Schizosaccharomyces pombe: one gene and its partner. The protein of the gene in region 1 interacts with the protein of each later gene in a biochemical or structural test. Each region holds a gene or a part of one and is shown in the gene's direction. Other genes may lie near its edges. The genes, in order: apl2 and sip1.

Region 1 (5,461 bases):
GATTTCGGCTTCATCATTAACCTCGAAATATGTAAGCAAGTTTTATATTTAACCCCATTCTTAACTAACCTTGATTTAGCTTGGTGATTCTGAAAAGTTGGTTCGAGCCCTTTTTGAAGTTGCGAAGCGCCAGACATGTAGCGTTATCTTTGTTGATGAAATTGATTCCATTCTTTCCGCTCGTAATGACAGCGGTAATGAGCACGAGAGCTCTCGTAGATTAAAAACAGAATTTTTAATTCAATGGTCTTCGTTAACTAATGCGGCTCCGGACAAGCAAACTGGTCACTCTCCCCGTGTTTTGGTGCTGGCAGCTACAAATCTTCCGTGGTGTATTGATGAGGCTGCTCGACGCCGATTCGTTAAAAGAACCTATATTCCGTTACCTGAAAAAGAAACAAGATATAAACATCTTTCTCATTTGCTTCATAATCAAGTACACTGTTTGACGGAGGAGGATCTGGAAGAACTTGTCAATCTTACCGAAGGTATGTATATAAATAATTCGATTGGTTAGTTAACTAACGCCATCTAGGTTATTCAGGCTCTGATATCACTGCTTTAGCCAAAGACGCAGCAATGGGTCCTTTAAGAAACTTGGGTGATGCTCTACTTACCACCAGTGCAGAGATGATACCTCCGATCAGCTTGAATCATTTTAAAGCTAGCCTTCGTACTATTCGTCCAAGTGTCTCACAAGAGGGTATTCATCGTTACGAAGAGTGGAATAAACAATTTGGTTCGCAACGTTAAAACAACTTTGTAGAGTATTCTACCTTTAATATTTTCAAGAAATCATATATTCTTTTGCATCAAAAAGGCAGGGTATCCTTTAATTTATTCAAACTTCCTTTCTCTCTTTTTAATTTTATCCTTTAATGTTTCTTAACGAATCATTTGGGTATCGTTTTTCTGGATATTATGAGAATTACCGTGCATTTAGGGATTGAATCGTGGATGCTGATTTTCATGTGGTTTCAATAACTTTCTTTTGCATAAACTTGGCTTATTACGAATTTTAATTTCTGTTTACCTTCATTTTATTTTCGTCTTTCCTACAACAACTAAAATGTATTCGTGATTTGACTATCGCTATAAACGACATTTTAAATCATAGCCGACTTGACAGCGCCTTTTACAAATGCTCCCCTTTTGTATTTTCCATCAATTCTCTTTATTTTATTTTTTCCATTTATCGTCATATTTATTTCGTTTACATACAGCCTCAACCTATTGGGCTACTTTTTTTCCCTTCACTATTCTCCAATTTTGAACAATAATTATTAGTTATTTAATGTTTGGAAAAGGGTATTGCTTTACTTGAATCGCATTTTTACGGCAATTAACTTATAGCTTTTATTGAAATAACATTTCAACCTCTTGTTTGTATACTGAATTAAATGTTTTAAAATTTATTTAAAGGTCATAATAGTAGCGTTTAAAGCATTGCAGGTTGAAAATGAAATCATGAATATATAGAAATTGGATTTCAGTATTCGATATTGTCACCTTTGTTACTTCTGGGAGTGGGTGTTTCTCACCGAATGGGTTTGACTTGACATGATTATTGAACCACTGCTTTATATATGTAAACGTGTTTTTGACCTTAGGACGTTTACCACCTTTAAAAGAGCTACATAAAGAGCGGAATTATACAATAGTACCGAATGGTTCCAAAGTTGTTTCAATCGAGCCGTTTTAAGGCATTTAAAAAAAGCGAAACAAGTGAATTACAAAAGGGACTAGTTTCTCAGTATGCCTACGAGAGAATTGATGCTGTGAAACGGACTATTGCCGCAATGACTGTTGGCAAGGATGTGTCTAGTCTGTTTCCCGATGTTTTAAAGAACCTAGCTACTCGCGATATCACCTTGAAAAAACTGGTTTATTTATATCTAATTAACTATGCCAAAACACACCCTGATCTTTGTATTTTAGCCGTTAATACTTTTGTAAAGGATTCTGAGGAATATAATCCTACTTTACGAGCTCTGGCAATTAGAACTATGGGTTGCATTCGGGTAAATAAAATCATTGGCTATTTGGCAGATCCGTTGCGAAAAGCTTTGAAGGATGAGCATCCCTATGTTCGTAAGGCTGCAGCGGTTTGTGTTGTAAAGATGTATGACCTTGATCGAGAATACTGTGCATCAAATGGTTTCATCGAACAATTGCAGGCGTTGGTATCTGATCCGAATCCTGTGGTTGTGGCTAATGCAGTCCGCTCACTTGCTGAAATTCATGATCAGGACCCTGAAAAGGGATATTTTAATGTAGTTTACACGATGACAGACAGGCTAATGGTTGCTTTGAGTGAGTGTAATGAGTGGGGTCGGATTACTATTTTGAATTCTTTAGCTAGATTTCGCACTTCTGATATCAAGGAAGCTGAATATGTTTGTGAAAGGGTGGTTCCTCAATTCCAACATGCAAATAGTGGTGTCGTTTTGTCCGCTGTGAAAGTCATAATGGTACATATCCCTCTCTTTTCCAGTGACTTTACAGACTTTCTGTACAAAAAAATGGCTCCTCCTCTTTTGACGCTACTTTCTACGGACTCAGAAATCCAGTATGTAGCCTTACGGAACATTAATTTAATATTACAAAAGAGGCCTTCTATTTTTGATGTCAAAACTCGGGTTTTTTTCTGCAAATATAATGATCCTCTTTATATTAAAATGGAGAAACTAAAGATAATTACAATGCTTGCATGTGACGAAAACATTAACGAGACCATTTCCGAGCTTCGAGCGTACGTTTCCGAAGTTGAACTAGAATTTGTGAAACAAACGATTAAATGCCTTGGAGACGTTGCATTGAAAGTTCCAAGCGTCATCAATGATTGCATCTCCATATTTCTTGAAATCTATGAGTTAAATATTAGTTATATGGTTCAAGAAGTCACGGTGGTGATGGAAACGGTTTTGCGCAAATACCCTCAAAAGATTGACTTATTACTTCCATATCTTTCTCGTGTCATTGAGGAGCTTGGTGACCCTAGAGCCCGTAGTAGTATGGCTTGGATTTTAGGGGAATTTTCACACGTTATACCTACTTCTTCTAAACTATTATCCGAAATGATTTCTACTATGGCGGATGAAGATTTACAGATTCAATTGGCTTTACTGACGGCTGTTGTAAAATTGAGTTTGATGAACGGCAAAGGAAACGATGAAGAACTCGTACAGAAAGTATTAAATTATGCAATTAATCAATCAAGCAATCAGGATTTAAGGGATCGTGCCTTTGCATATCAGCGGTTGTTGACACCTGAAAATGTTCGTAAAGCTCAAAAAATTGTTTGTTGCGAAAAGCCTTCCGTATCTTATAATAACAATCTACCTGAGGCACTTTTGGATGCTCTGTTGTGTGAAATCACAACTCTTGCTTCTGTATACCATAAATTACCGGAATCCTTTATTGGCCAGGGCAAGTTTGGCGCAGACGCAATACAGCGTCGAGCTGTTGAAGAATTGAACATTGAAGAAGCCAATGTTCATGAAGCTATTGAAAAAGGAGCCAACGTTGAAAATTTGCTTGACCTTGATTTTACTGATCCAGGCGCAACGTCTGCCAGTGATTCTCCAATAACCAGCGCACAACCTCAGTCGGGCTCAAATAGTGCAATGGATTTGTTCATGGCTTTTGAGGCACCGAGCACAAATAACGCTGAACCTGTAAAGGCTAGATCGGCAACAGATGATCTGTTAGGGCTTTAAAGATAAACGACAGATGAGTGGCATGATAGATGATGATTTGTTTTATTAATATTTATCTCGTTTCGTTTGTCTAATGGGAAAAACGGGATAAGGTTGATTGATGCACATCTAGTTTATGAAGATATGTTTCAATTGTTGTTTTTTCCCAAATCAGAAAGTCAATTTTAACATAGAAAGCATGTTCTTCTTTCGTTTTTATAAATAAATAAAAAAATATTTGTTAAAATGGATGCGAAGCAAAAATAGGGACTGCTCATTGCAGTAATCATTATCACTGAGGTGCTATCACGAGTGGTACAGATTGTAATGTTAATTATAGGCGTTTTTTAATCTGTACGAATGTAATGATTATCCCTGGCGATATTCGTTTTTGAATTCATTCCAATATATATATATATATATATATACATACATACGTAAGTGAGATGAAAATGTTAAGGAGATTTATGGGTGCTTTAGGCACGTACGGAGAAGCTTTTGATATGCTTTCCTGGAATCACCACTAAACCCAAAGCTCTAGAGAAGCCTGATTTCATTATATTAGTTTTGACGAAATTGGTGAAAAACAGAAAGAGGTACTAGCTGGAACGTTTGTTTTCAATTTAAACAGTAACCCAGCGAAAGTTTACTTGAATTTGAGGGACGCGCTATTCATGAACACATATCAATCTTACCTTTGTTGTATTCTGTGGTATTTGAGAGAATGGCAGCGCCTTCTCTGTCAGTGCACAAGAACTTTCCGATGAATTTTCTCTCATCAAAAATTTCAATATGAACTGACCGATTGAGCCAGCTGGTCAGTAAAATCTCTCCATTTTCCATGATCAAGGAAAATTCATCAAGCTTGGGGGAAGTGAAATCAATAGCAGTGGATATACATACTCTGAAAATACTAAACATTAACGCAATGCACAAAATTTGAACATCGTATTGTAAAAAGTAATGTAGTGCCATTAATATAACGCTATGCTATGATACACTACGTTGCGTATCACTATATGTCATATGTTGGAATACTAGCTAAGATCCGTTTATTGATAATCACGGGTAATTATCCGTCTATATACATAGATACCCGTTAATAACAACTATTTAGAAATATTATAAATAGCGTTACAACTGAACCTCGTTCCTCAGTTCAGTTATGAGCTATATTAGTGATAGGTAACATTATAACCCAGTTAATACAATACCTATACTCAGTTGCTACTTATACAACCTGTGTATTGTAATATAAATAGACCATAAGGAAAACTCACCGCAGTTCTCCGTATCCTTAAATCAGATACCAAACTGCGTAACATTAGGGAGAATTGAAAACTGTGCAATTAACATTGGTATTTTAAACAACGGAATTGGTGCATGTCTTTACATAGTATACGATATCACCTTAAGTATCACAAACTACGTATAATAGAGTAACTGAATGTGGGGTGAGTAATGGCAACGTAATGCTCTATAACATAGCGCGGACTATCCCATTTGCGATTTTATTTTGTATCGATCTTTTAGCATGTTGAAGAGTGTGTTTTGATGAAAGAGAAGGTAGATTACTATAATTACCGATCCTAAATACAACATGAATGTATTCTCATAAAGAATGGTTGAAATTATAATCCAGAAAGTAGGTATTTTTTCCTACTGATTTCAACCCTCTACGCTTCGCATCGTTATTTAGTATACAGTTGGTACAGTAGGATATCAAGGCCGTATACATACTATTTACATCGCGGTATCCAAAA
Region 2 (5,052 bases), 660 kb from region 1:
GATGGTTTGGAAAGTGTTTGCACCTCGGTTTATGCTAAGTGGAATATTACTTGTTACTCATCAGCTCTTTGTCCTGATCCAATGCTTCGGAAGTTCTGTTGTCAAATTTCCTGAAGATGCTGAATAACAATAAAGCTTCACTGCCCTCGTTCAATTTGACGTATAATTAGAATTGTAGAAATATTTTCTTTTATATCCTTTAACATTTTAAACCTTATAAGGAAATAATCAAAACCACTTATCAATGCATTTTCATCATTATTATTTTCTATGGGTACACCCATACTACTCCTTTACGCCTTCTGATATGTACATTTAACATTCACCACAATCATCGTACCCAATTTTTAACAAAAATTAATTATGTCTGTTAATAAGTTGCTTAATTTATAATCAAAATTTGGTAGCTTGACAAAATGTTCTCTTTGCTACGAAAAGCTATAGATGTTAATCGATCCCGAATTACCTTGCATGGGATTAAAGTGCATAGTATCAATACTTTTCGTTTAATTCCTTATTCTTTATCCTTAACGAAGCAAATTCGATTTTATGCATCAGAAGGGACAGATGCAGGTGAAATGGAAAAGGGTCTTTCAGTAGTAAATGCCAATCACGAAAATCGTCCTTTCAGAGACCTTGAAGGATATCACTTCAACACATTTACATTTTTGAAAACTTTAATGGATAAAGGATATACAGAAAAAGAGGCCGAGGGTCTTCTCGAAGTCACGAATATGTTTGTTACTGATATGCTGCGACATAGTCATCTCAATTACCTGTCTGAAGCTGATTTTGAAAATGTACGTATGATTTATTAAGCTACAGAATCCTTCCGTCTTTAAATTTATCTTTAATTATAGATTGACGGTTTTTTTTGCTTTCAAATGAACTGTCATAGCTAACTTGTATAGTGCTCCTATTTGTTTCGTACAGCTTTGTCGGAGCTTCGCTCAGAGAAAATAAATATGAGAAAAGATCAAATCAGTTCGTTACGTTCAGGCTTGTTTTCAAACCAAAGGGAAGTAGAAAGTTTGGAACAATTGGTTCACGAGCAGTTAAACAAGCTTAATACCGAAAGCAAAATGGAGTTTGAAAATCGGAAAAATGATACAAAGAATGAAGTCCAGCAATTGAGTGCAAGAATTGTTGAACTACACAATTTATTAGCCGTTTCGTTAGGTAAATTGAGGGCTGAAAATGAGAGGCAGAAATGGGACCAAATAAGAAAAGCAGCAGGTAAGTATATTTATAGTTCAAACTAGGTATTTGAAATTTCATTTATTAATTTCCTTTTCTTTTTCAGGTGTGGTGATGGCTTTTACAGGGTTTTTAGTGCTGGTTATTCCATTTGGACTTGGAGTACGAAGCAGAAAAAAAGAAAAACAAGATGAGCTTGATAATTTAGGTTCATTTAATTTAGATAACAAGCGCGATGATTATACTGATACTAATCTCTCCCATATGTGAGTTATGGCCAGCAAAGCATTTCGAGCTCTTCATTAATATCTGTCCTTTCTTTTTTTTTGTGTTTTCTTCTTTGTTTATGAAAATGTTCAATTAGGTTTTATGGAAATATGCAAATATTAAGTTTTATTAGTACTCCTTCTGATCATGAGACCCCTTGTTCTTATTGTACATGGAAATACCATTATGAATAGCATAATAATTGTTTGCATTGCAGATGCTCATACTAGCGTTGAGCTGTGATTTTTGCCTTCTCAGACAAAATTTTTGTCCATTTCAAAACTAAATCTATAAATGACTTTTCGTTGTTTTATTTAATTTTAAAATTAACGATACTCGGAATGGCTATTGCATTCTAGTAGTCTCCTACAATTTAAAACATCTTTGTGTTCGTGGTTGATAAGTAAAGTGGTTAATTATAATGATAATAATAAATATATTATCTATAGACTATTTGATTATTAATTTATTGTAAATCGTGTAAATGTCGACTGCAGATTTCAGTACCTCGCAACTCAATGTATATAGATTTAGCCTAGGGAAATTGGTTTGGCCGCTCCACATATGTCGTTAGCATCATTGCCGCTCGAAAAGTTGACGAAAGTAGCTGATGTAGATAAGAGGGAGACCATATATATTGATTTACTCAATTACGAAAAACAATTGAGGAATCTGAACAAAAATACTCGCGAGGATTCATTACAAACTAATTTAAATCCCCTACTTTCGTTAATCAAAAAATATGGAAATTTTATTGCTTATCCAACTAGAAAACTTCTTTCTAACTGTATAATTGCACTCTTAAAAGGACGTATGTGAGATTTATGGAAAATGGTATATGTTAACAAGTATTAGTCGAGGGTTATCATCAGCATCGAGTTTTACTTTACTTCGTGGATAGCATTCATGAGAAAAAAGACTATATAGAGATTATGTATGTCTAGAATATTTGAAATATCAACTAACCGGTAGTAACGTTTTATCCGTTCTGACTTCTTGCTTGGAAGAATATGGAAATCAGGTATTACTCTTTTGGATATTTTCTATAAACTTATAATTAACCTTAATAGATCAATCAGCAAGAGACTTTTATAAGATTTTTCTTCAAATATTCGAAAACCAATTTGTCATATGGAGTTCGCTCAATCGCATTAGATGGACTGTCGAAATGCATTGAAACATCTATTCAGTCTACGAATGAAGATTTGATAAAAGAAATATGGAAATGTATTAAATCAAATTTAAACACTTCATCAACGAATGTTCTTTTATCTGCACTTCGTTGCGCTTACTACATTCTGGGCTCTTCACGTCTTCGTAATTCAGAATTGGAATGGTTCAAATCTTTTCTATTTAAAAAATCATCAATTGATAATTCTTTGCTCCATTCTTCTTTAGGAAGATGCTTTTCTGCACTTGCAAGTGCTCAAGCTGACAAATCGATTGAAGCCGCTGCAAACGCAGTACCCTCAACTCCAGCGGATGATGAGAACAATGAGGAAGTAGAAAATCGGTCTACTACTCGCCGTTTTGATGAAACTGAGAGTTTTCGTCACGCCCTACGGATTCTTGTCGAAAATTATCACTCCAAGCATGCAAAGTATGAAAGCTCAAAAGCGGTTCTTGTTTTTGCCGTTAAGCATCTTTTTCTAATGCAACGTCCATCCTTTGTTTCTCTCAACTACACTACTATAGTGGATATTATTCTATTACACCAATCACACTCTACTTCAAAAGAATGGTTGTCTTCGTTGGAGCAATATCATTGTACATACTTGTTTCGCGATGTGATTGGAAGGCGATTTCTCGATCAAAGCTCTGAATTGCAGGGAATTGAAATACTTTTAAAGAGAGTGTTAGAGCCTTATTTAAAAGATCAGTCGAAGATTTCGGAAATTGCTGTTAAGACTGCGATGGCTTCCACCGCTGATATATTAAGCCGATCAAAGGGTTCGGCTACTGCTTTATATAGTCAGTTACTAGATACTACACTACAGATTCTATACTTGGGTAAAGATTCATTGAAGAATGAAGTAGCCTGGTTGCTGCGCTGTTTACTATCCGTTATGCCTTCTCCTTTAATGCCCACTTTGCTTGCTCTTTTTAATAGATTAGAGTTGGAATTTAAGCACCTTCGTTCTAAACCTAAGGAAGTAAGTCCCAAATTGAATGTTGGTATTTTCAATAATCTTACTTTGTCGTTGATGTCGATTTATGTTGCCGCCGAAGAAAATCCTCTATATGTTGCTTCTTCTATATTTTCAAAGTTATTTAACTTCTCTTTGGATTTGATTAAGTCATCATCTAAATTGGATTTATTAGCGGCACAAGCACAAATCAAGACTGGTTGGCGACTATTAAGCGCTTACGTTTCTTTTGGTCCTTCTTTTACTAGAATGCAATTGTCCCAATTGCTAATTTTATGGAAGAATGCCCTTTCCAGAGTACCTTCAAAAATACATTCACAAAATTTCATGGAGACAAATGCAGACATGTTTAATCGGTTTGAAGCGTTACAGTGCTTGCTTTCGTTTTTGGAGTATAACAAGATTTTATTCACACCTGATGTTAGGAAGCGAGTCATTATTTTCCTAAATAACTGCCTTAAATTCTACAAAGCTTTTTCGTTAACCAAAAGGCTTGAAATTACCATGCCAATTCCCGCTTCAGATTATTCTCACTTGGAACTTCGCTCTCTCTTGCTTGCTCGGATTTTCCAATGTTTCTTCGAGTTGTCTCAGTTAAGTGGAATGAGTTTAGATGATCAAGAATTACTATCCACGACTGTGTCTACTATAGCCGAACTTTCTTCTTTACAAGGATATGATACTGCGGACGAAATAGTTCAAGCGAAAGCCTTTACTTCTCCAAGAGTTATACCTGGAATTGGTTCACGATTTTACGCTCAGCCAGAGGAAGAATTTCAAACAACCATGGATGATATACTTCCTTGTTATATTTGCGAGTCATCTTCTGATTCCCTGTCAGTGATTTCGAGATCAAACTCTGCAAAACTTCCTTACGTACCCCCGTCTTTAACTTCTTTAATTGATAACGCGATCCAGTTATTTGCGTCTATGTTTTGTCATCAACCTCCGAAGGTTATGGAGAGCACTCTCGAAATTATGGTAGCGTCTGTGACAAACCTCAAGAGTGGGAGAGATATTTTACGTTACAAGGCAGTAACAGCAAATACTTTATTTTCCATTTATGGATTTCTCTCTGCTTTCGATAACAAAAAAGTTACCTTGCCTGACAAGGTTGTATCCCTTATGATAGAATTGCTCGAAAACTTGACTGCTGTTAACGATCCGAAGTTAATTCCTTACATTTCGAAATCTTATGCGTTTTTGGCATATTTATATCAAAGCAAACCGACGTCCGTTTTGGATACAATAATTAAACGTGCTGCAGAGTCGGGAGATCCAAATTGCAGGGCTGTCTTGATTCTAGCCGTTGGCCATATATTAAAAAAGGTTGGTTCCGGAGTTCCCCAAACTACCCTCATCACCGCTTATCAGCTGCTCAAAGTTTTTAATACTGATTCGAATGACCTTGTTAGAGAGTGTTCTATTCGTGCTTCTTCCG

The links.
Region 2: the proteins of apl2 (region 1) and sip1 form a complex in vitro, tested with the Schizosaccharomyces pombe proteins (2 studies listed by BioGRID).

What each region holds. Positions count from the first base shown.
Region 1 is NC_003423.3:675,841-681,301, reverse strand, and holds apl2 (AP-1 adaptor complex beta subunit Apl2), read left to right. Parts: upstream 1-1,560; 5' UTR 1,561-1,667; coding exon 1,668-3,719; 3' UTR 3,720-4,174; coding exon of another isoform or gene 4,175-4,245; 3' UTR 4,246-4,393; coding exon of another isoform or gene 4,394-4,541; 3' UTR 4,542-4,669; downstream 4,670-5,461. Other genes in the region: knk1 (AAA family ATPase), read left to right, coding at 1-31, 80-488, 536-753; putative NatC N-acetyltransferase non-catalytic subunit Naa38, read right to left, coding at 4,175-4,245, 4,394-4,541.
Region 2 is NC_003423.3:1,333,696-1,338,747, forward strand, and holds the start of sip1 (Pof6-interacting protein Sip1 AP-1 accessory protein), read left to right. Parts: upstream 1-2,015; 5' UTR 2,016-2,028; coding exon 2,029-2,275; intron 2,276-2,319; coding exon 2,320-2,398; intron 2,399-2,436; coding exon 2,437-2,485; intron 2,486-2,534; coding exon 2,535-5,052. Other genes in the region: gpi13 (pig-O family ethanolamine phosphate transferase), read left to right, coding at 1-127; SPOM_SPBC27B12.07 (uncharacterized protein), read left to right, coding at 417-800, 912-1,236, 1,304-1,467.